Struthio camelus: one gene and its partner. The protein of the gene in region 1 interacts with the protein of each later gene in a pairwise test. Links are inferred from orthologs where the notes say so. Each region holds a gene or a part of one and is shown on either strand. Other genes may lie near its edges.

Region 1 (15,862 bases):
TAGAAAAGCAATCCAATCTAGGAGAAACATTTCCTTCTCCTGCTGTCAAAACATCTAGTAGAAAGAAAATATCAAGCTGCAAATATTATTCCAATCCTCATTCAGCTATTTTTATTTCAAAAAAGCAAAGATGTGGGTGAGAAAAGGGCTTAAAAACTAGTAACGCTGTTGTTACTGAAACACCAGAAACTAGTTATGCATTTCTGTTTCTGGGAAGGGAAGCATTCATTTTACCAATGGGCATCTCCCAAGAAATGCTGGAATTCATTCTGAATACAGCAGAAGTTTAGTAAAAGAAGTAATTAATCTCACATTCTAAAACACAGTTCAGTTTACAGATAAGTTGAAGTGAAGGCTCTCTGTTTCCATGCTTTGGATGGCCTTACCTAGGTATCTTTTTACATATTTATGTGAAATATGCAAAGAAAATGAAATGGGTTTCTTGGTGTTCTTTTTGCTGGGCATATTAGCTAACTGCTGCACTATCTTAAGGGGTCAGTCTAACTTTTGAAATGACTTTGAATGAGAATTTCGGTCATGCATATATATTTTCATATTGTATGTTAAAAAATATTATTCATCCCTGGAAAAAAGGAGAATCAGTAAGATTCAGATTTTTTATTACTATTATTAATGGCATAAAATATATACTTTAAACACTAACCTCTTTCAATTATGAAATCAACATTTTCTAGATGGCACACACAACGTGACTACAGGTCTCTGAAAAGCGATCTTTGCAAATACCATATTAGGGTTAATACTGCTCAATTACCTTTCATTATCACGATATCTATACAATGGATTATAAAAAGCCAGATGCATCGGACAGTGGGCTAATTAGGGGAGTGCTTGTTGACATAATACGTAGGTCTGTCTTTCTCCTAATATTTCCTTATCCTTCTTTAAGATGAAGCACTGCGAAGAGAGATGATCATCAGAGATCACTTGGGTCCCAAAGCCTAGACCTAATTACTGAAGTCAACGAAGCTTCATACTATTCTAAAAAAGGATCAAACTCAGCAATTCTTCAAAACAAGGTGGCTTTTTGTCCCATAACTTCTCATACAAATCTGCTCCAGTATCTTGGTAGTAAATTGGCTTAAAAATCTTCTAATTTGCAGTCTAAAATTACTCAGGACTAGTTTGCACGCATTTGCTCATCTGCTATTACCTTCAAGGGTTGCCTTTTCTCGAGTGTTTAAACACAAACATATATTTGCAAAGCTCTTACAATCTTTCTCAGTTCGTATTTTCCTAGATCAAATTAAGTTCCTTCACAGTGCCCTCTTACAAAGCCTCTACTTCCCAGTCATTACAGCCATCTTGTTTACATCATGAGGTTGTATGCAAGAATATAGCAGAAAATGAAACACAAACACAGAAAAGAACGCTAGAAAAAGCTGAACAAGTGGAAAGCAGAGTACTGATAAACAGGTATTCTGCAACTAAATAGTATAATTCCATTCTGCTTAGTTACAGTTGGAGAAAACTTCATAGGCAGAGATAGGTCAATATCACAGTTAGAAACCTTATCATAGTACCTTAGCTAAACAGATATTCTAGCAACTAGATACTTCAAATAATCTGTTAGTTTCCTAAAGCAATAACGTTACTATGACCTCATGCTTAAACCAAATATTCATTGCAACTTGTTCATCCGTTCATCTTAAATGCTTACTTTAACACAGAAACCAGTTGGGAATATGTTTTGTTAGTACACTAGTACTTTAGACTAATAAGAAATTCAGTAGCTAAATTAGACCTATCACTTTCCATACTCCCAAAAAGTTCCCTTCCTTCTCTCTCCTTTCCAAACAGTGAGTGCATACTGCAGTTGTTTCACGTTTTCATCTGGCTTGTCAAAATTAAACCCATCTGTTATTTGCATCCGTTTTACAGGAGATGCAAAGCTTCAGTAGTGTCCTAGAGAAAAAGCATATTTGGGGCACAAGAGTACTCCCACTCTCCAGCAGAGAAAATGGAGGCAACGATGATGAACAGCATCACCAAAAGCATCAAACTATTTCTATACCGTTTTGTTATCACAATACTTAAAGTTATTAGCACATGTCTTGGACAAGGAATCCATGAGTTCTCTCCTCCCTTCCCTACTCGTTCCTTCACTGGGACATAAATCTAAAGCATCTTCATCTCAAGATAATAGCTCAAGATGGAATTACAGCAACTCTCTTCTTGTATGACCTTACTGAGATACAGGCCTTGAAACTCTAATGCAAAAAAATCCCCTGTCCACTCCTTGCCCAAAGACCTCACTTCCCTCCTCCTACCTGCACACTTCTTGTAGTGTTCCTGAACTGCTGGGAAGCTGGAGAAGACAGGAACATTTCCAGCCTCTAGGTACTTTAGCTCCTCTTGCTAGACAGAAGAGGCCAAGCAGAGAGAATCATCCCATCACTGAGTCAGGAGGGATGAAAACAAACAAAAATTCTCAGCGTTCAGTGCAAAAAAAGGACCACTCTGAATCCAGTCACACTGCAAAGAACACCCTGAAAATTACAGTAGTATTAACATCAATCGTCACAATGTTTGTTGGTACTAAAAATACCAACAATTTCACATATATAGGGTCCAGCAATGGAAAACAAAAGTAAAAAAATTTGCATAACTAAAGAGTTTAAGTGATAGACAAATTATTTCAATTGCGACCAATACCCATTTTAACACAAATATATTCATTTTATCACATAATATTTATAATTTAATAATTTGGTGAGAAACATCCCAATACAAACTACTCTGAAAGCAATCTGCAATTCTACTGTTAGAAAGAGTAGTCTTTACGCTGCTCCCTCAATGCTAACATAAGTCAACACGAATCTTAAGAGGTGCATAAGTCAAAAACAGGTAATATGAAATAAACAGAACAAGGACTAGAAACAAAACTATCCCTACTATAAAAGCCAGTTTTCAGTCTTCTAGATTCAGTACCAACTATATTTATTCCAACTTAAAGACAGACATTCTTTTTGGCGTAAACAAAACTACTGCTATATGCATACACAGCTCCTACGATAAGCTTAGGACAGTTTTAACGTCAGACGAATACTCAGCTCTACACTCACTAAACTTCATGAAATACTAAATGCATTCTGATTAAAAATGCGTATCAAAAATAAAGAAATACATCTAACACTATTATAAACTGTGAATCTAATGCACTGTATGATCAATGTTATGAAAGGGTTCAATATTTTAGTTTGTGTACTTCTCAATCAATATACAGAGAGAGTCTCCTCAAAGGTTGTCCTTAAGCAAGTCTGAAAAAAATGCCATGCCTGCGCCTTACATCACCACCAGTTATCCCAAGACATGTTAACACATTTTCTAAGGGTAGTACAGAAACTTCCCAATTTACTCTTGCTTGAAGTGAGTTTGTGTCAATCAAGTCTGAAGAAAGGCACTAACCTAGAATGCAACAGATCTGGTATAGTAAAAATACATGACTAATGTTAGCATCTCAAAGAATATCACTTAAGTATAATAAAGATTAACAAGAAATTGGGGTTTTTATTCTAACTTTTAACTCTGTATAGCTTCCAGAAATTGAAAGTTATACTGCCAATATAGGCAAAAGAAAATTGCCTTTAAGTTCTTCTAGAGGAAACATGAACTAAAATTTCCCTCTGTTCCTCCTGGCCCTTTTCTCCTTCACCCATTCAAAATGAAAAAGGCATGCATAGAGAACTTAAACATGTGAAATGCCATGTAATAAACAGTTTATCCTTCTGTCATTTCAGTAAATTCATTCATATACTACTACATTGTAATTGTTATACACTCCAGCACACCAGAAGTTATTGTCATTGTGTTTATATAAAATAAGTCCATCACTTGGATCAGTTTATTGTATTTAAAACTGTTAATCTAAAGTTTAAAATAAGCCTCAGCAAACTGGACCACAGAGTTTCCCAGCTGATACTATCTCCCAGAGATTACTTATTTTTTAAAGTCAACAGAACAAGAACTGAGAGATTTCTCTTACAAGTTTGACTACAAAATGATGGAATGTTTAGTCTAAAATCTCTTTCCCACACCCTTTGTGAAAATATCTTTCTATCTATTTAAAATGACAGCGGTAACTACATATTTAGGAAAGATAAATTACACATTTAAATATTTCATGCATCTGAAACGCAAATCAGGGCCAGATATGTTATCTGCAAGAACTGAATTACTGTATCAATCAATAATAAATCACAGAAACATGGAGACATTTAGTTGATGTTTCACTGAAAGATGTTTAGTAAGATGCATATGTAGCAATTCAAAGCAGATTTACAGCAGTCTTCCTCAAGTTGCTTGAAGATGAGCAAAGCGCTACGTAAAAGACACTAAAAACATTGCATCCGTGGTCCCTAGGAAGGCATCCTTCATAGTGCTGCACAGAAACAAGAATATTGCTTAAACAACTGTATATGATACTATGTATTTCTTTCAAATGTTTTTAGAGGACTCACATAACATCTGTGCAGAAGATCATCAGCACTAACAACGAGCTATATAATCCTTCACATCACCACTGCTGCTGTTTTCAGTGACCCACTCTGTTTTTGCCACAGTGCGCTTGGCATCATTATACTCCTCTGATTTAACATTTGTTAGATTGATTTACATCCCAATGCGACCTGTACTACAAAAACGTCATGTGAAACTTCTATAGCTAATATCTAACTCACAGCTTTTGCGCTCTCTCTTCAAAATTCTCTGATCACAAAACAAAAAGCCCTTTGAAACGTGCAGACGTTTGGATCCCTGTGAATGATCCATTCTCTAAAAGGATGTGCAGTCACATTAAACATAACCACTACACCTTCTTCCTAACAGTAGTCAGATATGAATAAAATCAGGTATGCGAACTACAGTGGTTAGCATAAAACCACTTGTGAAATAAATGTGCCAAAAATAATCTTCAAAACACGTTTAATAACAGGGTTTTGTTTCTCTCCTACAGAAGCTCTTCACCAAACCACTAGCATTAAGTTAGAGCAATCACTTCAGTTTATGCCAGTAAACAAGGCCGTTGCAGCTCAATCTCTAGGAAAGTTGGTTATGTTAACAGAAAGCTAATAACCTGTTAAATGACAGAACTACGTGCTGAAACTTTTGCAGACAATGAAGTAACCTGCTAAGTCCAAGACCAGCATTTTAGTATAATTCTGTGGAAAGATTAATTTCAGATTATTTTTTTAGCCCTAACTTTACAAGTAGGCAGCTCTTGATATAGCAATTGAAAAGCATATTGGTGGAGAGTGGACAGGAAAATGTAGGAAGAAAAAATTATTGGTTTAAATTCAAACCAATTATTCTTATAAAATTCATTGTCACGAAGAAAAAACTGCAGACACTCCAAACAGAATCACTATTAGGGCTTCCACAGCAATCTCTGCTTTTGAATCAGAAACATACAGAAAATTAGGAAGTCACAATATTGGTACACCTCTCATGCCCATTTCGCAACACAAGCACAACTACAGAAGACATACAAAAGATGACAAAGAAACATAGAATGGATTTCAAAACTGGAGAGTCACAACCAATGGAGGAGGGGGGGGAATTAGCTTTAATTCTTGATTGTCCCCTGATTTTTGGGATTCTCTTCATTTCCTTGGCGTGATTATACAAAGACTGACACTCGGACTGTCATTTTCATCCACCAATCAAAGCAGTGACCCAAAACGAGCAGCTGGGCAATTCTAGCAGCTACCTCAACTGCTAGGTTTGACACAAGCCTTGAACATTGGTTTAATAGCGGTTGCATAATAAGACTCAAAAGGCCAAGTTCTCTTACTGCCCGATACATCTTTATTTCCACACGGATGAGGGTGGAAGGCAACTGAGCACTACCTGAGTGTGACTAGTACCGCCACTAACAAGCCGGTTATCATGCAGTAAAGGAAAGAGAAAAAAACCCAACACCTGGCGTACAAATACGCAGACGCCCAGTGGATAGGTGGATCCACAGAGAGAGATACCTTTCCTTTCCCTTCCCCAATAGGCAATCGTTGATGGGTGTGCCAGGAACGGGATATAGGGGGGAGGAGAAGAAAAGGGGTGGGAAGTGGTTGCTGCAGCCAGGCTGAGTGATGGTTAGGCGGTTAATCATGGTGGCTGAGGAAACATCGGGTCACTTCTCCCCCTTCCGCCTCCCGCGCAATAAAGAAGGTGGGCAGCGCGGAGAAGGCACTTGTCATGTCACCGCCACGAGCACAAGGGGGGCCGCGGACCCCACACCGCACGCACGGACTCACTGGCGGCGACTCAGGTGGGTGCCGAGCAGAGCATCCCTCTCCCTCCGCGCCCCGCGGGAGGGGCCGGGCACGGCGCTACCGCGGCCCCCGCCGCCTCCTCCCCCGCTCTGCTCGGTCGCGCACACGCACGCCCTGCCCGTCTCCCACTGCCCGCGGGACTCACTTGCCGATCACCTCGCAGAGCTCGTACACGTCCTCGAACAGCACGTCGTCGTCGGCCATGGTCCGGGCGGGGGGGGGATCAGCCCGAGAGGCGGCGGCGGCGCCGGCGAAGGGGGGAGGGCGGGCGGGCGGGCCGCGGGCACGATCCCCGCCGCGCGGCGCGCTCCTCTGCCGCTCAGCGCCAACCGCCACCACCACGGTAAATCCCAACCGCTACAACGGCTCCCACCGCCGCCGCCACCTTCCTCGGGCGCCGCCGCCGCCCGCCCGGCGGCTCCCACGGCCGCGCCGGGACTCCCGGCGCCTCCTCCTGCGGGCCGCGGCCGCCGCCGCTCCCCGCGCGTGTCACACACTCCGCGACCCCACCTTCCTCCTCCTCCTCGTCCTCCCCCCACCCCCCTCCCGCCCCCTCCCTCCCTCCCCCTCTCAGCCGGCTACTCCCCAGCGGCGGCGGGCGGGCGAGCGGGCAGCTCTGGCTAGCGGGGCGGCGCGAGGTCCATGGAGGGGACCGGCACCACACGGCGAGGAGGGAAGAGGGGCCGGCAGCAGGCGGCAGCGCCGTCTCGCTCCCTCGCCGGGCGGGCGGCCGCGCGCTCCCGGCCGGGCGGGCGGGGGGGGGGGGCGCGCGCGCGCGCCCGGAGGGATCGAGGGAGGGAGGGAGGGAGAGAGAAGGATAATAGTGGGAGGGGGAGGGGCGGGGAGTTGCCGGCGCGGCGGTTGATTACGCTCCGAGGCGCGAGGCGCAGAAGCAGCAGCAGCGGCGGCGGCCGCGATAGGCGCTTGCTTTACTGGAGGGCGGGCGGGCGGGCGCGCGCGCGCTCCCAAACACCGTCACGCAAAGCCGCCGCCGCGGCGCGCGCGCACCCTCCACAGGCAGGCCGAGCAGGCGCGGCACGCACGCATGCACGCACGCGGGGGGCTGCGCTCGTTTCCGCTCGCTTTTCTCCCCACCCCCACGCCAGCCCCGCCAGAGTCGTGCGCGGGGCCACGCCTACTGGCCGTTGGGGGCGGCCCGATGTGCGCAGGCGCGGGCTCCGATGACATCATACCGCGGGGAGGGCGGCGCGGCGCGGCGCGGCGCGGCGGGTGGTTGTCAGTGCCCGCTGGTGCGGTGCGGGGGTGGGGGGAGGGGAGTGAGCAGCCCGTCGGAGGCGGGGCGAGCGGCGGCGGCGGCGGGCAGAGGAGAGGAGAGGAGAGGAGGCGAGTGGGCGGGCGGGGTTCAGGTATTAACCTTTCTTATCTTTTAAGCCGCCCCCTCCCCCGTCGTCAGTGTGGGGGGAGGGGGTATCGCCGCCGCCGCCTCTTCCTCCAGCTCGCAGCGAGCCAACGACTGCGCGCGCGGCGCCGGTGGCGGGTGGTGCCGCGCGCGCAGCCGTTGGCCCCGTCGCTGCGTCGCTGGCGCCTCACGCACCGCTCTGCGCGCAGCCGCCGGAGGGAAGGCAAGGGCCTGGAGCTGGCGGGCGCCTCATGTGTAGGCAGGTGCGGGAAGAGAGGAGCGTTTCCCCACTTGCCGTGGGTCGTTAATGCTGTTATTTATGGAAAAGGTGAGGCGTTTCAGCTGCACGCGTGTTCGGTAGGGACAGGCGTCCTTTTTAGTTTTCACGGACTTGGTTGTAGAAATAAAGAACAGTTACGCAGAACGTTTCTAGAGCTTTGTCCAGGTGGAGTGTGTTTTTTTTTTTTCCTACCAGTCTATTAGTTTCAGGAGGATGTAGATATTTTCTGTAGCATAATTTGTTTCCCCTTCGTTATTAGGAAAACAGCCACCTTCTTACTAGTCCTCAAAGTAGTGAATTAAAAGAACTTTTTAAAGAGTGTCCCTAGATGTACTTTTTCTCCTTTGGGCAGATATGTCGTGGCTTTTTTTTTTAATCTTCTCTGAATAACCCTTTAAAAAGAATGACTAGACATTCAGTTAATTGTAAACATAACTTACTTGATACATTCTGTTCTGTTACTTTTGACCCATTAAATGAAATTCTGTACAAAAGATAGACTAAGTTGTTTAGCTGTGCTTTTCCAATGTTTGAATTAGATGGCTTGCAGAAAAAAGCAAAGCTCTTGAAGGAATTATCCAGGAAGTGTTTTGCAGTTTATGGAAATATTTATTTTTGCTGAAGTACTTTAGCACACATGCAACTTCTTAAAACTCATTAACACAAAGGGAAATTATGCATTTGTTTCCCCTGCACAGGAGAAAGCCTGTCAAAGCAAAATTATCCGATGAGATGCTTTAAAGATTAGCTTTAAAATGCAGAACAAAGGACACTTTGGCAAGAACACCTCCTTCCTTTCTCCAGACAAATTCAAAAGACAAATCAAGAGAATCTGTGGAAATAATAGCACGTATCTCCTGCACGGTGGTAGCCTATGCGGTGAGAGACATTCCCGTGAGACTATGCTCTAAGCCATACAAACCTTTATAAAAAATATTAAACATCATCTGCTATTTAGAATGCAAACAGAAAGCCAATAGTTAGATTGTCTACTCCCTGAATTTCACACTGCTAAACATGTAAGCAACTGTCTTTCACTTTTCTGAAGCCAGCACAACCATGTAGTAGTACCCTCACAGTGTTAAACTCAAGAAGTTGCAGAATATGGATGAGCATTCATTTATATTTTGAACAGAAATTGTCATCTGATTATCTGCAGGGCCATTATTAGAAGCTGGCAAGAATAATTGATACAAGAACACTCAAAGAAGAAAAATGCATATTGAAATAGCAGATCCATTCCACAGCTGAGGCAGATGCTTTTTCTGTTCTAGCAGCACCACTTCACAGAGGTCTCACCTTCTGAATGCCGAGCACCAAGAGGTACGCGAGGCTACGTCACCTGCGTTTGACAGACAAAGCCAAACGCTAAGAGTACTAAGCATAGTGCTTATGTGGGGAGCTTCAGGGCAAATTGTTATAACAGAACAAACCCTTTAAGAACCTTGGAGGGCAGCTGGCTCCATCGTGAGATGGCGGAACACGTAAACATGGTTTCCTAATGGAACAAGGTCTCAGCGCAGAGAGAGTCAGAGTCATCGTCCTGGGAAGGTAGTTTCTGGGAGCACACTTAATACAAATGGACTTTCCCTATGATAGGCGATTCGTTCCCTAGAGTCTAGCCTGCTTGAAGGGTCCTACTACCTTTGAGGAAGGAGGATGATGGCTTCTTTTTTACCTAATGGCCTAATTGTTTCTTTGCGGAACAAAATTAAGACACTCTTATTAGAGTGGCTGTGGCATTCATTGCTTGGGCTTGCAAGAAGCAAGACAAAAGTATCAAAGGCTGCAAATATATCAGATCTCCTCGTTTAACAGGAGGAAGACCAAAGCGGGTGCTAACTTTTGACTTGGGTGAAAAGAAAGAATTTGTCTGAAGCAGGATCTAGGATTTATATGCAGATCTGTATTATCAAAAGTTGCTACAAAAATAGCAGAATCAGTAAGGGTATCACTAAGTCAGAAGTTACTACGATTGATGAGAACTATGCGATAATCTGTATCTATGCTAATCTTAGATTCAAATTGATTGGGCTCACGAAAATAAGAGTGTCAGTTTGTCAACTTTGTCAGCAGCAAACTCCCAACAATAAGTATGATCATCCAGGCAATATACATGCAGGTATGTTTGTGATCATGAATTTCATCCCCAAGTTTGAAAGTGGTCATTCCCTTGCCCTTTCACAGGCAGGTGTTAATAATCTTCACCCGAATATCCAATATATCTCCTTGATAGATTTCAAGAGCCACAAGAGACATGGGTTTGATTTAAAAGCTTAAGGTTGAATTCTGAAATACACACATCTGAAATCTCATAAAAAAAGTATATAACAAAATTCTATTTGAAATACAAGCAGAAAAAAACTTTACGCTTGAGACCTGGAATGATTTGCTTAAAAGGATGATGAAAACAGTTCAGCGCATCAGCCATTGCAGGACTGGGAGAGGGATGTACTCACTTCTTCATAGGGAACACAGAAGAACGAGAACACTGACTATTGAAAGAAAAGATATGCTTTATCATCCCTGATTGCCTTCCCCAACCCGCTGCAGGCATTTGCGCTGTTTGTCAGTCAGATTCTGAGCTGCCAGTTTACAGTGTTATATTTTTAGGCAAACCACTATTGTTTAATTCAAAATTTCATGTTAAAGTCGTAAGAAATAGCTAAGTGTGGGTTTGGGCACTAGAAAATCTATTTCATAAAACTTTATGGGGTTTCCAAATTTTTTCTGGCTGTGGCCTTCTTACGGTGTGCCTGTATGTCTGTGAGCCTATATGGCTCACTACTGGTGAGCCACAAAGCAACAATAAGTTGTTCAAAGGTTGTTTATAGAACCATAATTATGAGTAACATTTGATCAGCCTTTATAGTGTTTTCATTTAAAAGCATGCTGTAAAAGGTACATGGTGATTAACATGAAATTCTAGGAGCTGACAGTAGTCTGTAATCCAAAAACTGTAGGAAGCACCAAATTTGATAACCGAGATGCTAAGCATAGTAGTGCTCCTGGTACTTTGATCTGTAACCTGTGTATTTGATCCACTCCCATTATGAGGTTTCAGAATGATATTGACACTAAAGATGAGTGATTAGTGTTAGTGATTCATAAGACAATTTTAGAGGCCTACCACATTTCTGACAAACTTTACCATATTGTTTATGAGTGCAAATTCTATGACCTGACAATTCATAATTTGGGCAACAGAAATGTGTTTAAGTTGCAATGAAAAGAGGTGATAGTTGGATCACGACATATACATTTTCAGTCCTTGTCAAAAATGTCTGTATCAGGAAGATCCTAAAAAGCCATCAACCAACTCTGAATAAGTCTGGATAACTCCTCACAGAAGTATGTAATTAAGTCAGCTTGGAAAGCGAATGTATGGCAGAGCAGTCTGCAACAGCTGAACTCAAAGGTAATGCATTGAACAAGCAGTTCCACACCAGAAATAAGAAGGCCTCCTTTCCCGTGAATGTGTATCTTACAGGTAAATGGTATGTGTGTCTAGAAAAATCTCTCTCTAACTGCATTTTCTCCTTACTGGAGCTTTTCAAGCTCCTCTGCAATGTGAGTTCTCCATTGTTTAATGAAAGGTGAACTTCCACTGCCACCCGTACTCAGTGAAGACAGTAATGAGGTCTCTGTCTTCTCTGCCGTTCCCTATATTCAAAAGACAGTTGAAGCTTATCTCTGGGATTTGTACCTTGTCTCCATCAAACTCCATTGACATTGGCCCACAGGTTCAAAAGTTCTTGGGAAAGGAGAGATACAGACGTGCAAGTATATGTGAACATGGCAAAGGATAAGCGTCTTTTCCTCAGGCAACCAGCTAAGAACTGTCTTTTTTTGTTTTGGACAAAGAATTCTTTTTCAGTGACCTTCAAACAGGGTGACTTCATCACCTTCACCATACTAAACTAGCTACCCAGCTAGAGAATGCTAAGTCAAGTAATCAGCCAGATCTTGGCTGAGGAAGGAGAAGGGAAAAAGTCTGGTTCCTCGTCTGTGATTAGACCGTAGTCGTAATAAACCACTAATGACAGTAACACTACTGAGGACAGTAAACCAAAACTTAGTGAATGTGCCTTGCCTGAACTCCCCATGTCTTCCTGCAGCTTAGATTCAGATTTTTGTAAAAGATGTTGGTGGCTTTTGGTTGTTGTGATCTGATACACCCAGAAAGCTCACAGTTACCTTTCAAAATCAGCTTCCAAAGGTGAAACGGTCCCATATAGGAATAACTAGCAACATAGACAGGAAAACTTAAAAATTGCCTAAGCCCTCACTTAATAGAGTTTCTTTGTTAGCTATTCATTTTTTCCCTTTCTTGTATGCTGTGTACCTGTGAACAATCTGATTCAATTACTGGAGAGTTTAAGGACACACACTTATTTCTCCTCTCCCCAGTTGCAGCTTTTCCTCATTGTCAGGTATGGATTAAGTAATATGAATTGTAGTGGAAATCTCCATGTGATCCTTTAATTGACTTAAAAACAAAGTAAAAAGCTCTTACAAGATGTACAGGGAATAAAAATAGGCAATAAAAACAGGCAATAAAAACAAGTCAAAATTCAGGCCCTCTCTTCAGTATTATCCTGAACATAGATTTGCTACCGTATGCTACAGTCATGCACCTATACACAGAAAAATAGTTTAAAATCACTTCATAAGGAAGACCTCCAAATGCCAAATACAGCATTAAAATAAAAAAAATATATGTTTTCTCCCGTATCTTCCTTTTCTTCTCTCTTGCATTTGTCACTCCCTCACTATCTTTGGCAGAACATAGTAGCTAGGAACTCCGGAAGGACCTCGCAAAACAATGTGTGGGGAAAAAGGGGCAGAGGAACTTTGATGTAGATAAATGGAAGGGAATACTGCATCTAGAGCAAAACTAAATTCATGCCATCTGTATCTGATGCTGAACTTGGAACAGGCAGTTACAGCTCTGGAAGGAGCACTCAGAGTCACCTCTGACAGTTTACTGAAGCCATGGCCTCAGGTGCAGTGGCAGCCGAAAAGTCAATAAAATATTGGGCGTCATCTGGAGAGGCGTGAAAACAGGTGAGTATGTCATATGTCTCCGTTTAAAACTCTGGTACACCCTCAGCTGAAGGACTGGGACAGTTCAGGCCTCCTCCATGTCCAGAAGGACGTAACAGAATTTGAAAAGGAACAGAGAAGGACAACAAAAGTGTCCTGGGGATGGACCACTTCCCTCAACAGGAGAGGTCAAAAGACTAGGATTTACCAGTTTGCAAAGAGATCACTGAAGGGGGATACAACTGAGATTTACAAAGTCATGAAGGTAGTAGATAAGGTGAGTGTAAAACTGTTAATTGCCAAATCCTGCAATACTAGAAGCAAGGGGCACTCGCTGGAACTAGTAGGAAGGCAGTTTAAAGCAGATACATGGGAGTACTTTTTTTTTTTTTTAAATATACATACACACTGGGTAGTGAACTTTTGGGAACATGCTGCCACAGGAGACTGTAGAGACCAATAGTATCATCAGGTTCAAAAAGGGATTAGGCCAATTCAGGAATGACACATCATTACAAACAAATACTAGAAGTAATAGGCAGGGATATGCCCTGGAACATCTCTAATACGACAAGTGCGGATGCTGGGGAAGTAGGAGGGGAAGTGACTGCAGATAGTGGCTAGGCTCTCGTGATCTTCCTAAATAGTATCTCCTACTATCACTGCTCTGTTTTCATTTTTAAAGGTGTAAAGACAGTCCTCCGCTACCACAAAGTATGCGGTCAACTTCTCCACGTTCAGGGAAATCATAAGAGCCAGCACACCTGAAATGCAAACCGTGAGCCTTATCTCAGGAAGACCACGTTAGTGAGCCTAGCGTCTACCCTATTGGGTAAGTAGGGCTAGGCTGACTTATGAAGACATTTCTTATATTCTCAGCCTTTTGGTTCTATCCTGTGCTTCATTTTTCACTCCCAAGGTGCTTCATCCTCTTCCTTGTTACCCAGCTTTTTTCCTTTCCTCCCAATTTTCTCAGCCTATGTTCTTTTTATATCGTGTAGAGCTTCAGAGAAGAGACAAAACTCTGCTCTGCCTCCCCACTTATATCTGTATTTACTTCCTGCTTATTTCTCCCTCTTATGATTTCTCTTTCTGAAATGTTTTGCTGACATTGTATGATTATTCATACCCAAACTTAGACGTTCTTTTATCCTTCAAGAACAAAACCACCTGCAGTTGAAGGAGTTAGTATCGACTTCCCGATGTGGACCTTCTCAAAGTTACCATTGAGTTACAGTTCTTAGATTGTTTGGAGCAGACCTCTGCAATTCAGCAGAGAGAAAGTCCTGGAGGGCAAAGATGTGTGCTTTCCATGTCCCATGAAATTCTATTCAGGTTAGATGGAGGGAGAAACTGGTAGAGTGAAATCCTTTTTTTCCACAGAATGTTATGTTGGCAGCAAAATTCCGGCAGCCTGCCACGATAACGAAACATAAGCATTCTCATCCTAAGCAAAGTCTACTGCAAACAATATTGTGCTGGGAACCTAAAGTAGATAGGCTGTAGCTAAAAAGCTGTAGTGAAAGTTTAGACACAGCACAGACAAAAACAAACCACACTAAGTTTCCTCTGTAATACCTCACTCTAAATCTTGCGCATAGAATCTATTTGATCTCTTCTTTTGCAGGCTCAAGAGCTTGCTTATTTTAAATAAATTTGAGCTATACTTCCCTGGTCATTACCTGTGTGCTCCATGTGGTCTGAATCTCATTAGAGATTTTTAAGAGTGGGTTGGGACTTTCTGATTTAAGGGAAAAGAATACTTCCACAAAGGCAAAATATTTTTTCCTTAGGAAAAGGTATTTGGGTGCTGTATGCGAGGCTGTTTTCAGGATTGCTGCCCTATTTGTGCTAAGTGTAGGAAGGTCAATAGAGACTGTGACAGAAGAGGGGAAGAAGCGGAAGGATGATCTTGATGTTAAGACGGGAGAATGCCATACAGGTCAACCAATTGTTGTTTACCTTATGGTAAAGTGTTGCACTGGGGAAGCTTTGCCCATTGTTTATACATTAGTGCAATATGCTCAGTTTCAGGTTCTTTTGGTTGTCAGTGCTCATCTGGAAACATGACTTTGCCCTTAGTTTTCTCAGACCTCCAGATGTACAACAATACCAACCATATCTCTCTGCTCCTTCACCAGTGTAGGTTCCCTATTTTATCATAGGAGCAGAGGAAAAACAAGGATCATAGACATATATTAATACATTTTAAAGAACTGCAGTTACAATGAATACCTATTCTTACATCAGTATATCTTTTATGGGTGGTGGCTCCCAATCAGAAGCTCTGTATGATGCAGGTGATGTCCTTAGCATAAGTAGTACAACAGCATCTGACAACTGAATTCTAAAAAATTATGCTTTTATTGTCAATTAAGGAGGACAAGTCTTTAGTAGTAATTATGGGAGGAGAAGAGCCAAAAGGAACACTTTTTGATGAATTCTAAGGAATTTCTGCCTCAATCACTCAAGGGCTGGGCTGCTCTGGAGGTATGGTTCCTTCAGAAGGAACACATGAAAATCAGGGCTCTGATGATGAAGGAAGGGGGATGTATTTTGATATCTCTGGCTTTCCCAAACTACGGCACAGAAGTCTGTCTTGCCTGTCACTCAGCGTGTGAACTGGTTGCTTACGGTGCAATGTTTTTAGGCTAATTCAAGCCATCACTGTTGCTGATCCAAAACTGCTGTAACAGGCAGCAGTTCAAGAACTGAGAAGCAGCTCTGAGGCTAGTGCAGAACACGAAAACACACTGGTGTCCTCACCATGCTGTACCTATTTGTCAGTCAGATCCCACAGACTCCCTTAATTTAGGGGTTCTCTTTGAAGAGGAATTACAAATGTCATGTTGTCCATTATGTGCTCCAGGCCCACAGGTTTTGGGT
Region 2 (15,928 bases), on another chromosome or scaffold:
CCCGACGGGTCGGCGTAGTAGCCCAGCGGCCGCCCCGCGCAGCCGGCCGCCTGCAGCGGCAGCGCCTTGACGCCGGCCGCCGCGTAGGAGAGCAGCGTGGCCGCGTTGCCGGCGAAGTCGGTGGCCGTGTCGTAGGCGGAGGCGGCGAAGTCGAGGCGGTTGTTGGCGGGGGCGACGAACCAGCGCTGCGGGGAGGGCGCCCCCGGGTCCTCGGCTTGCTGTGGGGAGAGCAGCCCGTTGGTGTGGGGCACGCTGCGGTCGGCGCCGGGCCCCGGGCCGGCTCCTGCCCCGGGGTGGAAGCGGGACTTGGCGTAGTTACTCACGAACTGGTCCTGGAGGAAGGAGCCTGCCATGGCGTAGCGGGCCCCGGGCACGATCTGCGAGCGGGGGGAGTCGTTGGGGGACGGCGTCAGCCGGTCCATGTCGCAGCCCGTGTAGATCCTGCCAAAGACAAGGGCGGAGAGCTGGGTGTCCGCGGCAGGCCCGGCGCCCTGCGGCACCCCGCCTCGGCCCCGGGCGCCCGCCCCGCGCCCCCCGGGCCCCCGGGCCTCGCCTCGCCGCCCGGCCGGGCGGGACGCGGCGCTGCGGCCCCGGCCCGGCTCCCCCCAGCGCCACCCCCGCAGAGCGGCTGGTGCGCTCCCTCTCGCACTCGGCCTCCAGCATTGGGAGCGCTGAGGGCCGCAACGGGGGGACGGGAGGGGGAGAAAAAGCACCGCAAGCGACTCTTTCGCAGCGCGCCTGGGTGTAACAGGTTCGCGCTCAGAGGGAGGAGGTATCGTGCTCGTATCTGAGCTCCGCATCCCAACGGCTTTTCAAGGTATCTCGGGAAATGCTGCACTGTGACACATTGACCAGTCCCATCAGATGCGCAACAGGCAACCCGGTCATTTGTAGCGAACAGCATGAATGGCAGACTACAGAATTATATCGGCTGTTTAACACTTATTATTGAGAGTCACAGACGAACCATCAACATTTTACTGAGTTTAAATTAAGCTAATCTTTAAACACCTACTGTAGGAAATGTAAAACCAGACGCAACCAGTGTTCCCTGCGTGGCCTATATATAATTCTCCCATGCTGGGCTGCAATTTGCGATTATAAAAACTTTAATGGATGAATAACTACTATCTGTATTTAATTCAGGCTAAAACTGTGCTTTAATTAACCCTCCACGCCTCCTGGAATTTCTTATCCAAAATAAACTTGGCCCTTAAACAAATTCAACGTGCTAGACAACATTGAAGCTCCCCCCTCCCCCCGTCTCCTCTAAAGTGACGCCCTATAAAGTTTTTCCTATTAACAAGAGGAAAAGCACTTGCGGCTAGGGGTGAAGGCCACGAAGAGCCCTTTTAGAGGCCGCGCATCTTACTCGCGGAGCTGGTGGAGCAGCGCGGAGGCGCTGGAGACCGCCTGTCCCCCGCCGCAGCGGCCGGCTGCCCGCGGCCGGCCCGCCGTGACCCCCGCCCCGCGGCGAGGGGCGCAGACGCGCCTGGCCCCGGGAGCCGGTGCTCGGCCCCGGGCCCCTCTCGCACCGCTGCAGGCCGCGGCATCGTCCCCACCGTCGCACTGAAATCCCACTGCTGGGGGGAGCTGCACTGCGGCGAGAGCAGAGGGAGACTTAAGCAGGCGCTGAAGCTACGCGCGGGCTTAAGCGCTCTGCAAGCGCTGCAAGGGAGGCCGCTCCCAGCTGCCTGTTCAGAGAGAAAAACCGAGGTTTCCTCCCTCCAAGCCGCCGCCCCGTCCTGCAGAGCTGGAGCTGGCCGTGGGGCAGGCGAGCCCCAGCGCCGCACGCTCCCCCGCGGCCTGGGGGCTGCCCGGTGCCCGCCGTGCCCCGCGGGTCGGCCGGCCCGGGGGAAGGGGGGTGCCAGGCCGGCCGCAGCCCTGCGGCTGGGCGAGCAGCAGCCGTCGGCGCCCGCGGCTGCCGGCCGGGCCGGGCGGTCCCCTCGGCCGCCGGCGGGTGTCGCGGCGCCCAGCTCCTGCGGCCGCGCCCGGCTCGGCTCAGCCGGCGCCCGGCCAGGTGGGCTGAAGCCCCTCGGTGAGACAGGCGGACCCTGGGCGCTCGAGCAGAGGCAGCACCGGGGCAAGCCGCGAGGAAAACTTCGGAGTCTTTCGCTCCACCCAGAAGGGGAGAAAACAAAAATCCAACCCCAGAGAAGATCAAAACGAGACGAAGAGATTTTCCTCCGGACACTGGGGGCTGCGGAGCCCGGGATTATTCAAACGAGGCGGCTTGCCCAGTGCCTGAGTCCGCATGTGACAGGTGCCTCTTTCGGAGCCCTGGCGCGCAAGTGGGTAGACGGAAACTTGGAAAGGGGGGCCCAGATAAATGCCGGGGAAAACCAACAACAAACCGTCGCAAGTGCCAATGCAAGATACAGGCTCAGCTGCAGGAAAAGGGCCCCCAGGCGCGGAGGCGCCCGCAGGCTGCGCAGGGCTGCGCGGAGCCCAGCCGCACCGCCAGCCCCTCCGCGCCCCGCGCCGCGGCTCTGCGCCGCCGCCGCCGCCAGCACCGCGGCCCCGCGGAGAGCAGGAGCCGTCCGGGAGCGGGGCCCAACGGGGGTCTGAGCGGCCCCTGCACCTCCGCCCCCGTCCGGGGAGCTTGCGAGTGCCTCCTTCCCCCTCAAAGGGCTCTAAAAAAGCCTGACATGACACATTTCAGTTTTAAATGAGCCCAATCCGCGCCTTAAAGCCTCCCGCTTTGACATACGTGCGCAGCCGGCAGAAGGGTAATAAAAATCCAGTTTACTTACGTGTCATAATTGTCTCGGAAGCCTTTTGCGAAAGGGTTGTGGTCTATTTTCAGTTGTGTGATCTAGAGAAGCAGAGGACCAGAACGCACGTTATGAAAGCCCGAAAAATACACCCGAGTACAGCCAACACATTTTTTTAAAGCACCATGCAATACTCTAAGTCGATCAAATGGCCTCTCTTTGAAATGTGGAAAACAAAGCTTTAGCATGCTTTCAGAGATCAAAGTCGAATTTTAAGATTTATTTTAATCTCCCAAAATTACGATAAAAATTACTATTTAACTCAATGTTTTCAGAAATGTAGTTATTCGTATTGCATGGCGCTGAATACACTTAAACCCAGAAACGAGGGAAAAAACGTATCGCAGAACGGTAGCTAAGAGTTTACATTTGCGTCTACCAAAATAAGTAAAGCAAAAATGTGGACCGAACATATGTTAGTTGAAAAAAAATAGAGGGCATAAGTCTATAGCAAAAACAGATCACTTCAAAACGTAGCCATACATTAACGAGATTTTAATTTGAGGAAGTTGTGCCATCACCCCCAGTGCAGGCAATGAGGTTGTTAATTGATTTTTGCAGGTTTTAAAGCTTAAGCTCTACCAGCTAACTGAGCTGTTCCCGACAGGAAAATAAAATCCATAGATAAATATCGGGCTCTAGTTTTAGCAGTCTAAACGCCAGGAGAATTTCCGCTTGGCCTCTCAAGGAAGCTGCCAGCTCGGCAAGGAACAGCCCGCTCGGGGGGGGTCCCGGCTGCCGGGAGTCTAACGGGAGGCTATCCGGGGAAACGCGAAAAAGCGCAGACATCTGCAGCCGGCAGATCGCGCCTAGTATTCGGGAGCCGCGAGCCGCGGCGGCGGCCGATGCAAAATGGCAACTTTAAGGCCGGAGATAGGAAGACCCATCTCCGGGCGCAGAAGCCCCCGCGCGGGGCGAGCGCAGCGGCCGGCCGGGCCGGGCCGAGGTGCCCCGGCCGCGAGCGAAATAGACCAGGGAGCTCTTTACATCGGTGTTTTGGTAGGCGGTGACGGCTATGAACTGGGTCTCGGGGAAGGTGAAGGTCTGCACTCTGCCCGGCTGGTTGGTATCCTCCGTCCCGTCTTCGTTCACCTCCACCACATGCAAGCGGGGTTGGTATTTGTGTAGGGACTGCAAAACCACCATCTGTCAGGCAAAGAAAAGGGAGGGAGGGGGCCAGGGAAAGAAGAGGGGATTAGAGGGAGAAGGACGGGAGCCCGGCGCGGCGGCGGAGCGAGCCGCTGCCGCGGGCGGCGAGGCGCGGACCCGCCGCCCCAGGACCCGCCGCCGCCTCCCGCGCGGCTGCCGGCTTCCCCGCGACATCTAGCAACGGAGTGAGACTGGGCAAGGCACTTAGCGCCTGCAAGGCCATTAGCAAAAGAAAAGAGGAGGCTTTATCTACCCGCTCCCCGTTTTTTTTTCACCTAACAACATGATCTATGAAAATACAGGTCGGAACGAAGACTGCAGGATTTTGTCTAAAGCAACAAAAATAAGGCTTGTAGAGCATCTGCTTTTCTGTCACTGACCTGCCCGTTGTTGTTTGATGCTCCTTTATTGTTTGTAAGTTTTAGTTTCCCAAAGGAGATTTCCTGACGCATCCAGTGGGCACCCGTGTTGGGGGAGTCGGGGTGCATGTACACACGATTTCCTAAGCAAAACAACAAAAACACCACCACATCACAGTTCACCCGCATAGCCCAGTTCTGCCACTGCAGCAGAGCACGGGGTCTAATGACCCCATTAAAGTTAGCAGCATTTTACTGCCGAAACTCCCTCCATTTTAGCCGACCAGGATTAAAACAGTATTTTCCGAACACCTTTTACTGTCTCCTCCACCCCTCCTTTTTTTTTTTTTTTTAAGGCATCATTGGCCCATTCCCGTTTAAGAAGTCGCCTGAGCCAGTCCACAAAGGCTTTAATTAATCATTCTCACCTACATATGTGTCGGGAAAAGTGTTAATTGGAGGAACTTGCCTTGTACATTGGTGTCCGCCTTGCCGCAAGGAACCCATTTGCCTCCCTGAAATCTCCAGTGGTTGGGATCCGCCAAAATTACATCCACAAAAATATTGTAATGAGCCGTGGGATCGAGACCAGAAATATTAAAACTTAGGAAAGGGAACATACGCCTATTGAAAGGAGAAAAACAAAAAAAAAAAAAAAGGAAATCCACCACCAGCGATACATACAGTGAGGAACCAGCCCGTTGTGCATTATCCTCAGAGCGTCTAGGAGCGACCGGGAAAAAAAAATCAAAAAACTCCCTCCCCGAAACGTCGAGCTTTCCATGGGGAAGGGACGAGGGCAGCGGGGAAGGACACCCTCCGGGAGGCAGCGGGCGCTGCCCGGCAGGCACCGGCGCCGGCACAGCGGGCGCTCCCGGCCCCGCCGCAGGGGCCCCGCCGCGGCCCCGGCGGCTCCCCCGGGGCGGCGGCACGGCGGAGCCCGGCGGCTCCCCCGGCAGAGCCCGCCGGCTCGGCCCCGTCCCCCGCCGAGGGTCCGCGCGGTGGCTTACCTCCCCTGCTTCGTGATGATCATCTCCGTCTGGTGCCGGTGAAATTTCAGCCAGAGTGGCCTGTTGCACAGGTAGACCTGAGCCTTGCCGGGGACTAGCCCCGGCTGGGTGGAGGAGAACTGGTAGAAAGGTGCCCCTTGGTAGGAATGGCCATACTGCTGGGGGTAAGGGTAGCCCGCCGTGGGGTAGCCTTGCGGAGAAGAGTTGGACAGGAGGCTGTTATAAGCTCCGTTGGTGATCACAGGATGGTGAGCCATGTAGCGGCTGGGGCTGGCGATGGAGAAGGCTGGGTGTGCAGGTCCATGCTGGCTGGGGTACGGGAACATGGTACTAGGAGCAGAGGCAGCAGACTGGGGCTGGCTGGACTGAGAGAGCAGATAGCGATCTGCAGCAGATCCATCGAAACTGTGACGAAGCTCAGAGACCCCGTCCAAGACGGGAGAGAGTTTATTTCTCTGGACGTCCCCTGGTGTGTCCTTGGAGTCAGGAAAATTGTCTGTATCTGACTGATTCGTCATCCCCCTGGTAATTTTTTTCAAAGGTGAACTTCTCTCCAGGTTGTCAGTGGTCGAGATAATGGGATGATCATGCAAGGCAAGCTCAGATCCGCCTGCATGTGGGTAACTGCTGCTCACATTGAGAAATTTCTTGGAGAGCATGATAGAGGGAGAAAGACAATGCTCCAGCTGCATAGCTCTAGCACCACAGGAATAACCCTTCAGTCCCTGGTTCTGGAAGGGCTCCTTAGTATCAGAAGCTAGACATCCTGGGACCCTCACTAGACAGAAAGCACTTCATCCACCAAATGCTTCCCAAACGTTTGATTTACTTTTTTTTTTTTTTTTCCCTGGGAGAAGAGATTGGCCAATTGACACTATGCAGCAATCAGGAAAGACTCACTTTTGATCTTGCTGCTTGTGGAGAGGATGAAACGGCTTCTGCCATTGGTTAACCGCTGACAGTAATTTAATTAGATAGACATTAATTAGGATAATCACCTGGCTCCTGGTCGCGACGATCATGGCAAATTGAAGGGGATGATTTTATTGTGAGAGAGAAGGAAGGCGAGGGGGGAAGGGAAGTGTGTGTTTGCTATAAGGGCTCATTATTACGTGACCTTTCTTTTTTTATTTTATTTTTTATGGCTATGGCTGGGAAATAAACCCGAAGCCTCACATTTCCCCAAATACTGCGTGTGTGCCCCTTTGTGCAGCAGAGACGAGACCGGGTGCTGCGGACCTCGGGCACCCGAGCGAGGCGCGGCGTCGCTGCCCGCGGGGCTGCGAGGGGCAGCGCGGCCGCGGCCGCCGCCGGCCTGGCCTCAGCGCCGCGCAGCACCGCGCCGCGGCCAACAGCCCCCGCCCGCGCAACTCCCCCGCCCCCGTGCCCGCTCCGCGGGGGGAAATAAAACGCCCGTCCCCATTAAACTGCGGGCAAGCTGCCTCCGTTCACAGCGACAACGTATCACCTCTTTTAAGTTCTGAAATAATTATAAGCCGTACCGCCGAAGTGCCCTAATGTATTTGCCGTGATGTTTACGGGTTCTTTAGTAAATAAATATTTTATCTGCGTGCTGTAATGCCGGAGATTATCAGCAAAACACCGTAGAAGGCATCCATCTACCCATCCAGCTCCAGATTTCTTTCCACTCGATGTCTGTTTTCCTTCAGTGACTCCATCACACAGACAGCGCTAGGAGAGGAGAGATCTTTTGTAATAGATTTGTCATAAGCGATTACCTCGCCGCATGGAAACGCACTGTCGGCTGCCCAGACGTCTCTTCCCAGGGAAGAGATTTAGGACGGCAGGAGAGAAGCCCAAACCGTTTCACCGCCACGCGGAGCCGCCAGCCCCGTCGGACTCCAGGCGTCTCCGCCAGAGCCGCAGGCCGAGCCTCGGCGCCCGGAGGGGGCGGCGGGGCCGTGGAGCCGCGGGGCCCCGCGGCGGCGGAGCGGAGCGGAGCGGGGCAGCCCGGCTGGCCGCGGCGGGGGCTGGGGCCGGAGCGGGGGCGAGGCCCGCGCACCTCCGCGCAGCGCGGACCCAGCCGCGCCGGCGCTGAGCGGCCCCCGGCCGCCCGCCTGCCCCCAGCCCGGCGGGCCCCGCGCCGTGTGCCTGTGAGCTCTGCGCTAATTGAAGGCAGGATCCTCCGCGGGGTGAAGATATGCCAGGAGAGCTGCACGTCCCCCCGGCCTCTGCTATGCCTCCTGAGCATCGGCGTCCTCGATTTTCCTTTCCTAGGCAAGCCTATGAGTTTTAAAAGCACTGATTTTTGCCGGGGGAGGTGCTCTCTTGCTGCATTTTTGTTAATATTTTCCCCTTAGCTGGTGGGACTTCAGATATTTTGCAGATCACACCTCTTTTCAGTTCACACCAGCAGCCTGATTCAAATTCCACTGACGGCCCATGCAGCCTGGGCCATCCCGTGACAAAATCAAACCCAAAACGTATTCAGCTGAAGCCACACTGAAACTCTGCAAACTCTGCCTGGGACTTCTCCCAGGTAGAACCCAGATTGCTTTTCAGAACGTGCATTTCCACACTTGCAAATCTCATGGCAATCTAATAATTTTTTTCTGTTGCTTAACTGTGATCTAGTGCAGTTATCTGGCATTTCATGGAAGCCTGTCATACCTGCTCTCTGCAAAGAAATTATTCTAATCATCTTTTATGAAGCAGAAGCGAGCACAAGTTTACTCGTTTTACTCACAGTCTGTTGGTACAGTGCATGCGACCTCCCAAACCATACCTGCTTTCAGTGCTAAGAAAATAGTTTTATCAATAGCAGCATTAACTACTGCTTCTGACACTTGTTTCACTAGCGTTTCCACCCTTGCACTCCCCTGCTTGAAACTGATTGAAAGATAATGGATTTAGATATACAGGCAGGAGATGGGTCAAAACACAGATAAACACTGGGAAATGCTGCCCTAAATTACATAGCTAAACCCATATACATGCAGAGCTGCAGTGAATTCAGTGGTATACTGCCAATCACATGGAAGTGTTAATATATGCCAAAAATCTTCAGTGTGCACAGCTCCTAAACTGGTATAATAGGTGGATATGCAATGGCAGGTGGTGTTATAGAATTGTCATAGAATGAAGGAGAGGGGCTTGCTAATACAATATGCCAGTCCTGCATGCTGACAGGTGACGAGGGGTCAAGCTGTTAATGAAGGTCTGCTCTACTGTGGCTGGAGGCTCAGAAGGTGGCTGCTTGGAAACCTCTTTCTTCCTCCAAGATGCTATATGGGCTGTTGCTTTTCAGGTTACTGCATGCATGCACACTTCCAAATGCTCTGTGTATCTCCCAAAATACCAGGCAAAAGGAAGAAAGATGCCCCAAACCACAGCCTTGTGGTTATTCACGCAACATCTTTGTAAAGGGAAAACTGTGCCTCCAAGTCAAACCGCGCACTGGACAGAAAGCAGAGTACTATAGTGCAAGCCCATGCTACAGGACATCTGCTTTTCCTCCCAGATTGCCTTCAGCTACCCCCTGCAAGATGGAAAATTGTCAAAACTAACTTAGAACGCGTAAGGCTCGCTGATTTGGCTCCTGCTTACACTGCCCTTCCATACATTGCAAGAGCTGCTCTCTTGGTCTGCGATGCCACGTGACTTAAGACCTGTCAAGGTACACATCCACCTCACACAGCGATGCGTGTGTGTGGATCTAGCGGCACTGCCACAATCTAGTGGCAGTGGAGGCCTCCTGCAAGACAATATCCAGGTGCAGCCCCCAGGTGTTGCCCCATCTTACCCTTGGATGCGGGTGTACCGCGCTCCAGGCAGCTACAAGGCCTGAGCGCACCCTTGCTCACCAGTGACATGGTCTTCGGTGCAAGTTACCAGAAAGCACTTCCACTTAAATAGATGGAGCTTTTTAAGCAAACGTAGCTTATGTCTCCATTTTCCCCGTGTCATATTCTATTGCATACTAAGGGCAGCAGGGGGAAGGCCATAAGGAGGGAAGCTGAAAAAAAAAAAATCGGCATTTGTTTCCCTCTGAAGTAAATGCATGCTAAATATACTTTGAGCCAGTTATTTGAAAATAGTAAATTGGCCTAAATATGAAATTCCAAACAAAAGGAAAATGTTTGAATTGTAATGAACAATAAGCAGAAAATTACCGGACACAATTTACAAAAATAAGACAAAATGTTATGGGTTATTTTTCACTATGCAAATAATGAGTCAAATCACTTAAAAATCATCTTTAACAAAACGGGATGTATGTAGCAGTTTTAAAATGATCACATGCCTCAATTAGTTCAGCTTATTAATTTTTTTTTCCAGTAGGTAAAAAAAATACTGTGCATGAACAGAAAGAGAACACTCCTGATCAGACTAAAGAATCAAATCAGCCTAATCATCATCCAATACTTAAAAAAAAAAAAAAAAACACACACACACACACTCCCCCAAACCTTGTTACTTGGCTTTGTCTACTTAAAACCCAACAGTCAACCCATCCACCTTCCCATGTTTCCCTCTCTAGTCAGTGGAAAGGGGTTTAAATGTCGCATTCCAGTTGGAACTCATACATATATGTATGTGGACATCTTATACACCTTCCCTCCTGTCAGGCCTGCTTTCAAAGGATAATCTGATAATCTAGAACAGCCTCTGCTATTTTAATGTTTATTCTTGGAAAACAGCTATTTATGACCCTGTTTGTGAGAGCATTGTGCAATTTGGTTATCAGCATAGTTGAATTCATTTTCTTAAGGCCAATTGTCTTCTGTTGATATTATGGCTTGAACAATATTAAAAGGGAACTGTCATAGCAATTTTCAGTATTTTGTTTCTTATGTCCTCTGAATTCAGTGCTACTACAAATTTGTTGTGTCAGTAAGAGTATTTGGTAAATGGGAGGCAAGTTTCATTTGAGAATTTTTGCTGTCCTACTAATTAATATCTCAGTAGTTTTACAGTAGATGGAAAAGTCAAGATTTTACCTGCACAGCTTTCTCCTACACCGTTAATTTCCGACTTTCAAAAAAAAGGCCTTCCAGAACTTAAGATAGGTTTGTAAATGTATTTTTATTATGCTGCAACAATCAAAATATATATGTCCTACTGATTTCCCCCCCCCCAACCCCATATTAAATGAAAATGTAATACATTTTGCCCGCAATGTGTTCTTGAATTGCTTTGGAATCTGTAAAGACCCTGACATAAAGAAACCGAAGCAACTGCACAATTAAGAGACTGAAGGTGTTATTGTGCTGCACTTACATTGCAAATGAAGTCAGATGTCTCTGTTTAATCAAATATAGCCTCAACAGTCTCTGGTTTGTGAGTATTAGAAACAATAAACAAATATACACAGAAAACATCACAAACAGTAAATTGGTTATTTAAATACAACTGTATCCAACATAGCAGCTAAACATTGGACAATGTTTGAGGTCATCAGCACATCCACATGCTCTTCTAAATGACGTTTGGGGTCCTGAAATACAAAGTATGCCATGAGACAAATGACTAAAACATATCACTGAAGGATTTCATATATTTCAGTTCTATTTAACAAGACTGTGAATTAAGGAACATAGGTTAGTGAAGCTCCCAAGCCTTCCTTTCCAACTAACCTGGCAAATGACTGAATTTCCATAAGTAAGATTTTATTAGTCCTTATTGTCATTCAGAGAAGTTGCTGGATAGAAATTTATTTCCTAAAACTATCCTCATCTGAAAAGAAATCCTGGCAGCTGTAAGTTCTACAGGATGGCACAAAGTATTTGGAATTGTCTCCTCAGTGTTGGTAAAGCTCTTATTAATTATATTAATAACTATCCAGAACTTCTGTCTGCCAGTGGTCTCAAATTTAAGAGGTCAGGTCCATTAAAGCCAAAAAAACCCATACAAAGTAATTCGGAGTAAAAAATACTCTACTGGTATCAACTAGCTATTTCAATGTGCTAAGTTTGGTATAGTAGTGCTCTGTGAAATTGCCAGTATCTAGATATGGATATGTTCTTGATGCAACATGAATGCAATAAAATTACATACCAAAAACTATCTAATCTACAAAACATGAGAACAAGTACAAAAAGCTCTTCAAAGTTATTCTGGATTAATATTTCAATTGATGTATTTACACAGGTATTTCCTGGGAAGAGAAAAAAAAGCAAAAACATGTGGAGCTGGAATTAATACTTCTTCAATGTAAATCAAAATATATACCACAAAGGTTTACAGGCTGATATACCCTTATTGTAAATCAACTAAATAAGGCCATATGAAATACTTTAATAAAATTTTAGATGAAATCCTAATTCTGTGCAGGTCAATGAGTATTTTAGTATGCACCTTAACAAGGCCAATGGTTTAAACCTAGTTCTGGTATGGCGCAACATATTTTCAGATCCTGTACAAATTTGTGTTCTAATCCTGCAGAGACTCAAACAATCTAACACATAGTCTTTGAATAGTCTTATTAACTGCAAGAAAATTAACATATTTATTCCTACCAAAAATTTAAAAAAGCCTAATAACTTATTCAAATGTTTTGCAAATCTGAATGCTAAGCCTGAACAACATTTTGAAAATATCCATCCCCACACACTATCACTCAATTGATGTGGGCATTTTTGTGCAGTTGCAAAGAATAATAAGATTATCTCTGGTTGTAAACTTAACCATATTGAGAATTTTTTTCAGAACTGAGTTTAAGTAATTAATCCCCAATAAATACTGAAAAATTTACAGGCACATTTCAGAACAATCTCTAAACTTTATTGTTGCATTTGGAACTCTATCAGAAAAAACTTTTAAAGAGGAAAAAAATCAAAATAAAGATTTTTTCCACATATGCGTAATAATTTAAGTGACAAATGAAGCTTAGGTTCTATTTGAGATGATGTCATAACCCTTAAAATATAGCCCTTCCTACATGTTTTATTATATATTTATGTATGTGTAGGTGCACATAAATACACACACATATGTATATATACAGGTATAATACAGATTTTTTTGGCCATTGTTCTGAATGCTACAGAAATACACGAGTGACTGAACAATACTACAAATACGTTTTGACACAGCTGCCAGAAGCTGACATACAAGAGCAATCCAGAGTCCTTTAAATTCTACTGCTACGAACAATACAATAAATACTGGTTCTTTAAGAACTTTTGGATGTTTTTAAAGCTACATATTGTTTCCATTGCCATTCTTGAATTTTTAAGACAATCTCTTACCAACCTGATCTCTGTTCTCTTCTCTCCCATCACAGTACCTTTCCTCAACTTTTAAATTCAAATTAAATGTAGAAATAGTTTTCTGTCAAGTCCTCTATAAGGATACTGTATCCTGATATTTTGAAGGAATAGATTGGATTGAGTAGGTATTCTCCATTTCAGATATGGTCCTAAACTGTTTTTCCTTCAACAGCAATACAAAGCAATGCAGCTTATGTAAGCATGTACTGGAGCTAAGCATCCATCCACAGTGTAAGCCGAGCACAGAGGTCAGCTGGCTCTTTAGCCGTGATAATGCATAAACCATCCTCCTGCCTTTTTGTTTGTTTGTTTATGTGTTTAAGTCCCCATGGTTTTGGCCTCTCCATAACACTAAAACAAGAGTTAGATATTTTTATGCCTCTCCTTGTACGAAAAAAGAAAAGAAAAACTACCATATCTGAATAGTACTCCTCAGCATGTAATGCATGTAGAACTTGATTCGCAGGTATTCTCCGTATTACCTAAAGTCAAAAGCCAATTGCTCCTGACACAACAATATTCAGCAAAAATAAATCAATTATTTGCAGAGTTGAGAATATCTCATACATAGAACTAAAATCACCTATCCACATGTAAGGAAATTAATATTTAGAATGAACCAAGCTTATCGTTCCACCTCACTCTAATTCATCGCACCTCACCTGCTTGCCAACATTTTTTATTGCCAGCTGTTCAGGTGTCATCTTATCTTCTTCTTCAACAGCCTGTGAAAGAAACACAGAAAAGGTCAGTGTTTCAGAATTCGTTTACTTTTTCCCCAAGCCACAAGATTCTTAAAATATAATTCTCTCTTGCACTCACTCTCTCTCTCAAAAAAAAAAAAAAATCAAACAGCAACACATTTCAGAAAGTCAAAAGGAAAGGTACTTCAGCTTTTCAGCAGACATGGTTTTAATTACTAAGTGTTAGTGCAAAAGATCAAGGGGAATACTCATGAACGGTTTTATTGTCAGATAAGCAAGATGTATTCACCAAACTGATTTATGTTAAAGTCTTAAATGATGGGTATTGATGGTTAAAGATAGTTAAAGCAATAACACGAAAATCAAAAATAATGTTACCCACGTTGTTCCAGCTATTGCAGGTTTCATCTTCAGTAAGTCTTTTTGTACTTTTTGAGTCACCTATTTTAATATATTTTTGTAACGTTCTATTGTCTTCAAATGCAGTGTCCATATAAAGTAAATGGGCCTACTTACCGAGTAAAGGCAATATTGACTTTTGTTGTTTTAAAAGCAAGAAGTTTAAAAAATAGTACTTGTATAATATTAAGAATGACTGACATGCTTACTATTTACAGAGTGCTTGTTGAGACCTAGTATTTCTAAACAAATTTTTAAAGCATGTTAGTATTAAAACAGTACAAATAACTGTGGTTCCTCTTCCTTACAAAAGCAATATTTTCTTTATCTAAAATAACATGGAATTAGGCTCTACAATGAGTAAACGTCTATCCATCTATCTAATGGGATGATATGGATAGACCTTTATTCTACTATGCTGAAGACTGGTCAAGTAGTCCTTGACTGAAGGAACGAAGAATACAATCAATTGCTCACTTTGAGCTACAGGAGCTGTACATTATCTTGGCAAATACAAAATTGATGTGATTATTCCCATTTTAAAGCTCAACATATAAACTTCTTGCTAGTTTAGATTGGAAAAAAAAGATCGAAGAGCTATCCTGGTACTTCACAAAAGTTAATAGGTGATATATAGCTGATTAATAACTTGGGAATACAGTCTCCACAAGGCCATTATAGCCGTACTTGTGCATAATCTAACCAAATCAAGTCCCTCACGAAACTCTTTGCTGAAAACAGATCATATAAAACAAGCATAAAATTCCTAATCCTGAAAACTGGTATGATAACAAGCATCAAGATCCAAAAGAGTTCCTGCAATGATTGTTTCATTTCTATAGTCTAGTCCTTTACAAGTTACTTTGACGATGGTTTGTGACAAATCAACTTCTTACTTCGGAAATTAAATAAAAAGTTCCTTCACTTCATAAACTGTTGCAATTATACTATCGTTACGGGATACCAATACCTTGTTATAATTCTTAGCTAATTCCAACATCTCCTTCACTACAGTTTCATTGAGTTTGCAATGTTCACTGTAGTCCTGAAGTGTCAAACCTTCCATCCAACTCTTCTTATGCAAATTTAGCAACATCTGCAAATAAAAACTGCTTAAAACATGCATCATAAAATACATCCATAATATTATGAAGATGTTTGACAGAAACACAATATATAGCAGTAAGAACATCAGTGAAAAATTACTGAACTCTCAGTGTTTAAATATGGCAAACAATCAAATATTCAGTTAAAGTAGACAACAGATTTCTTCCATAAATTAAGATCAAACTTTTTGAAGCCTGAATATGAAAATGAGGCATAGAAACCAAGGTTAAATTTACTTTGGTAGGAATACTCAGGTCTTGCTTCTGTTTTTGTATTTTTGCTGTAGGTTAAGAAAGCACAACTGCAGTGTAAAAGAGATAATAGGAAGGTGAATATTCTAGCTGCCAAACAGACAGTAGTTGAAGCCTCTGGCCTCTGTCAAATTTGAAAAATATTTAGAAAATTTTAATTGATTAAACACACAATTTGGAAGATATTTAGGCTTCACTGATGAACCTGAACTATATGCAAGCAGCTGTTAAAAGTTGTGCAGCAAACTTTAATAGCAAATGAAACAAGACTTGTATACGTCTGACCAAATAAACAGCCCTAAAAATAACATGATAAAACAAAGTAGATTTTTGATGGTGATAAACACAGGGACTATTAGAACCATATGAAGTGTTTTTATTTGGCATTCTGATGACACTCTTGAAAAGGTGAAGGCTTAACTGTAACGGGAATTTCCTGATTTCCATACATAAAGCAAGCATATTCCACAGATGATCTGCATACACAAGAACTGTAGGGAGGATTCTTTCGGCAAACAGTTTCAGCTCGTCTCCAATTTGTAAACATTTACTATAGAAGCCTTTGAGAACCTATAAACCCTGTAATTCATATTACCTGAATAAAAAAGTGACTTTTTCATTGAACATACTTCTCCCCCCAAAACCTGGCTTTGGATCACATGAACTGAGTTAAAAGTTTTTGTCATAATTTATATTAGCAAGATCTTAGCAACACACAATCCTTTGTAGGCAAGTTGCGCATGGATAGCTTAGCTAGGCTATCTAGATTTTGAATTATGGTTTTGTGATAGGCTCCTCATCTATGAAGGACATGAAGCATGTACTCTTCTTAATATAAATGGAGTTTACAAACCACCATATGAGGTGTTTTTGACATACAAACCTGCTTTATCAGAGACTTGCAGAGATGCTTGCTGCCTCACAGATTCAAGCTCTTATAACT

The links.
Region 2: the proteins of CASK (region 1) and TBR1 interact in a two-hybrid assay, tested with the Homo sapiens proteins (2 studies listed by BioGRID and IntAct). The link is inferred for Struthio camelus from reciprocal best matches to the Homo sapiens genes CASK and TBR1.

What each region holds. Positions count from the first base shown.
Region 1 is NC_090942.1:127,534,278-127,550,139, reverse strand, and holds the start of CASK (peripheral plasma membrane protein CASK), read right to left. Parts: upstream 6,560-15,862; 5' UTR 6,495-6,559; coding exon 6,436-6,494; intron 1-6,435. UniProt on the Homo sapiens protein: Multidomain scaffolding Mg(2+)-independent protein kinase that catalyzes the phosphotransfer from ATP to proteins such as NRXN1, and plays a role in synaptic transmembrane protein anchoring and ion channel trafficking.
Region 2 is NC_090947.1:26,918,170-26,934,097, forward strand, and holds the start of TBR1 (T-box brain protein 1), read right to left. Parts: upstream 6,535-15,928; 5' UTR 5,985-6,534; coding exon 5,293-5,984; intron 4,907-5,292; coding exon 4,752-4,906; intron 4,426-4,751; coding exon 4,304-4,425; intron 3,921-4,303; coding exon 3,762-3,920; intron 2,816-3,761; coding exon 2,754-2,815; intron 442-2,753; coding exon 1-441. Other genes in the region: PSMD14 (26S proteasome non-ATPase regulatory subunit 14), read right to left, coding at 10,652-10,750, 13,187-13,249, 14,598-14,723. UniProt on the Homo sapiens protein: Transcriptional repressor involved in multiple aspects of cortical development, including neuronal migration, laminar and areal identity, and axonal projection.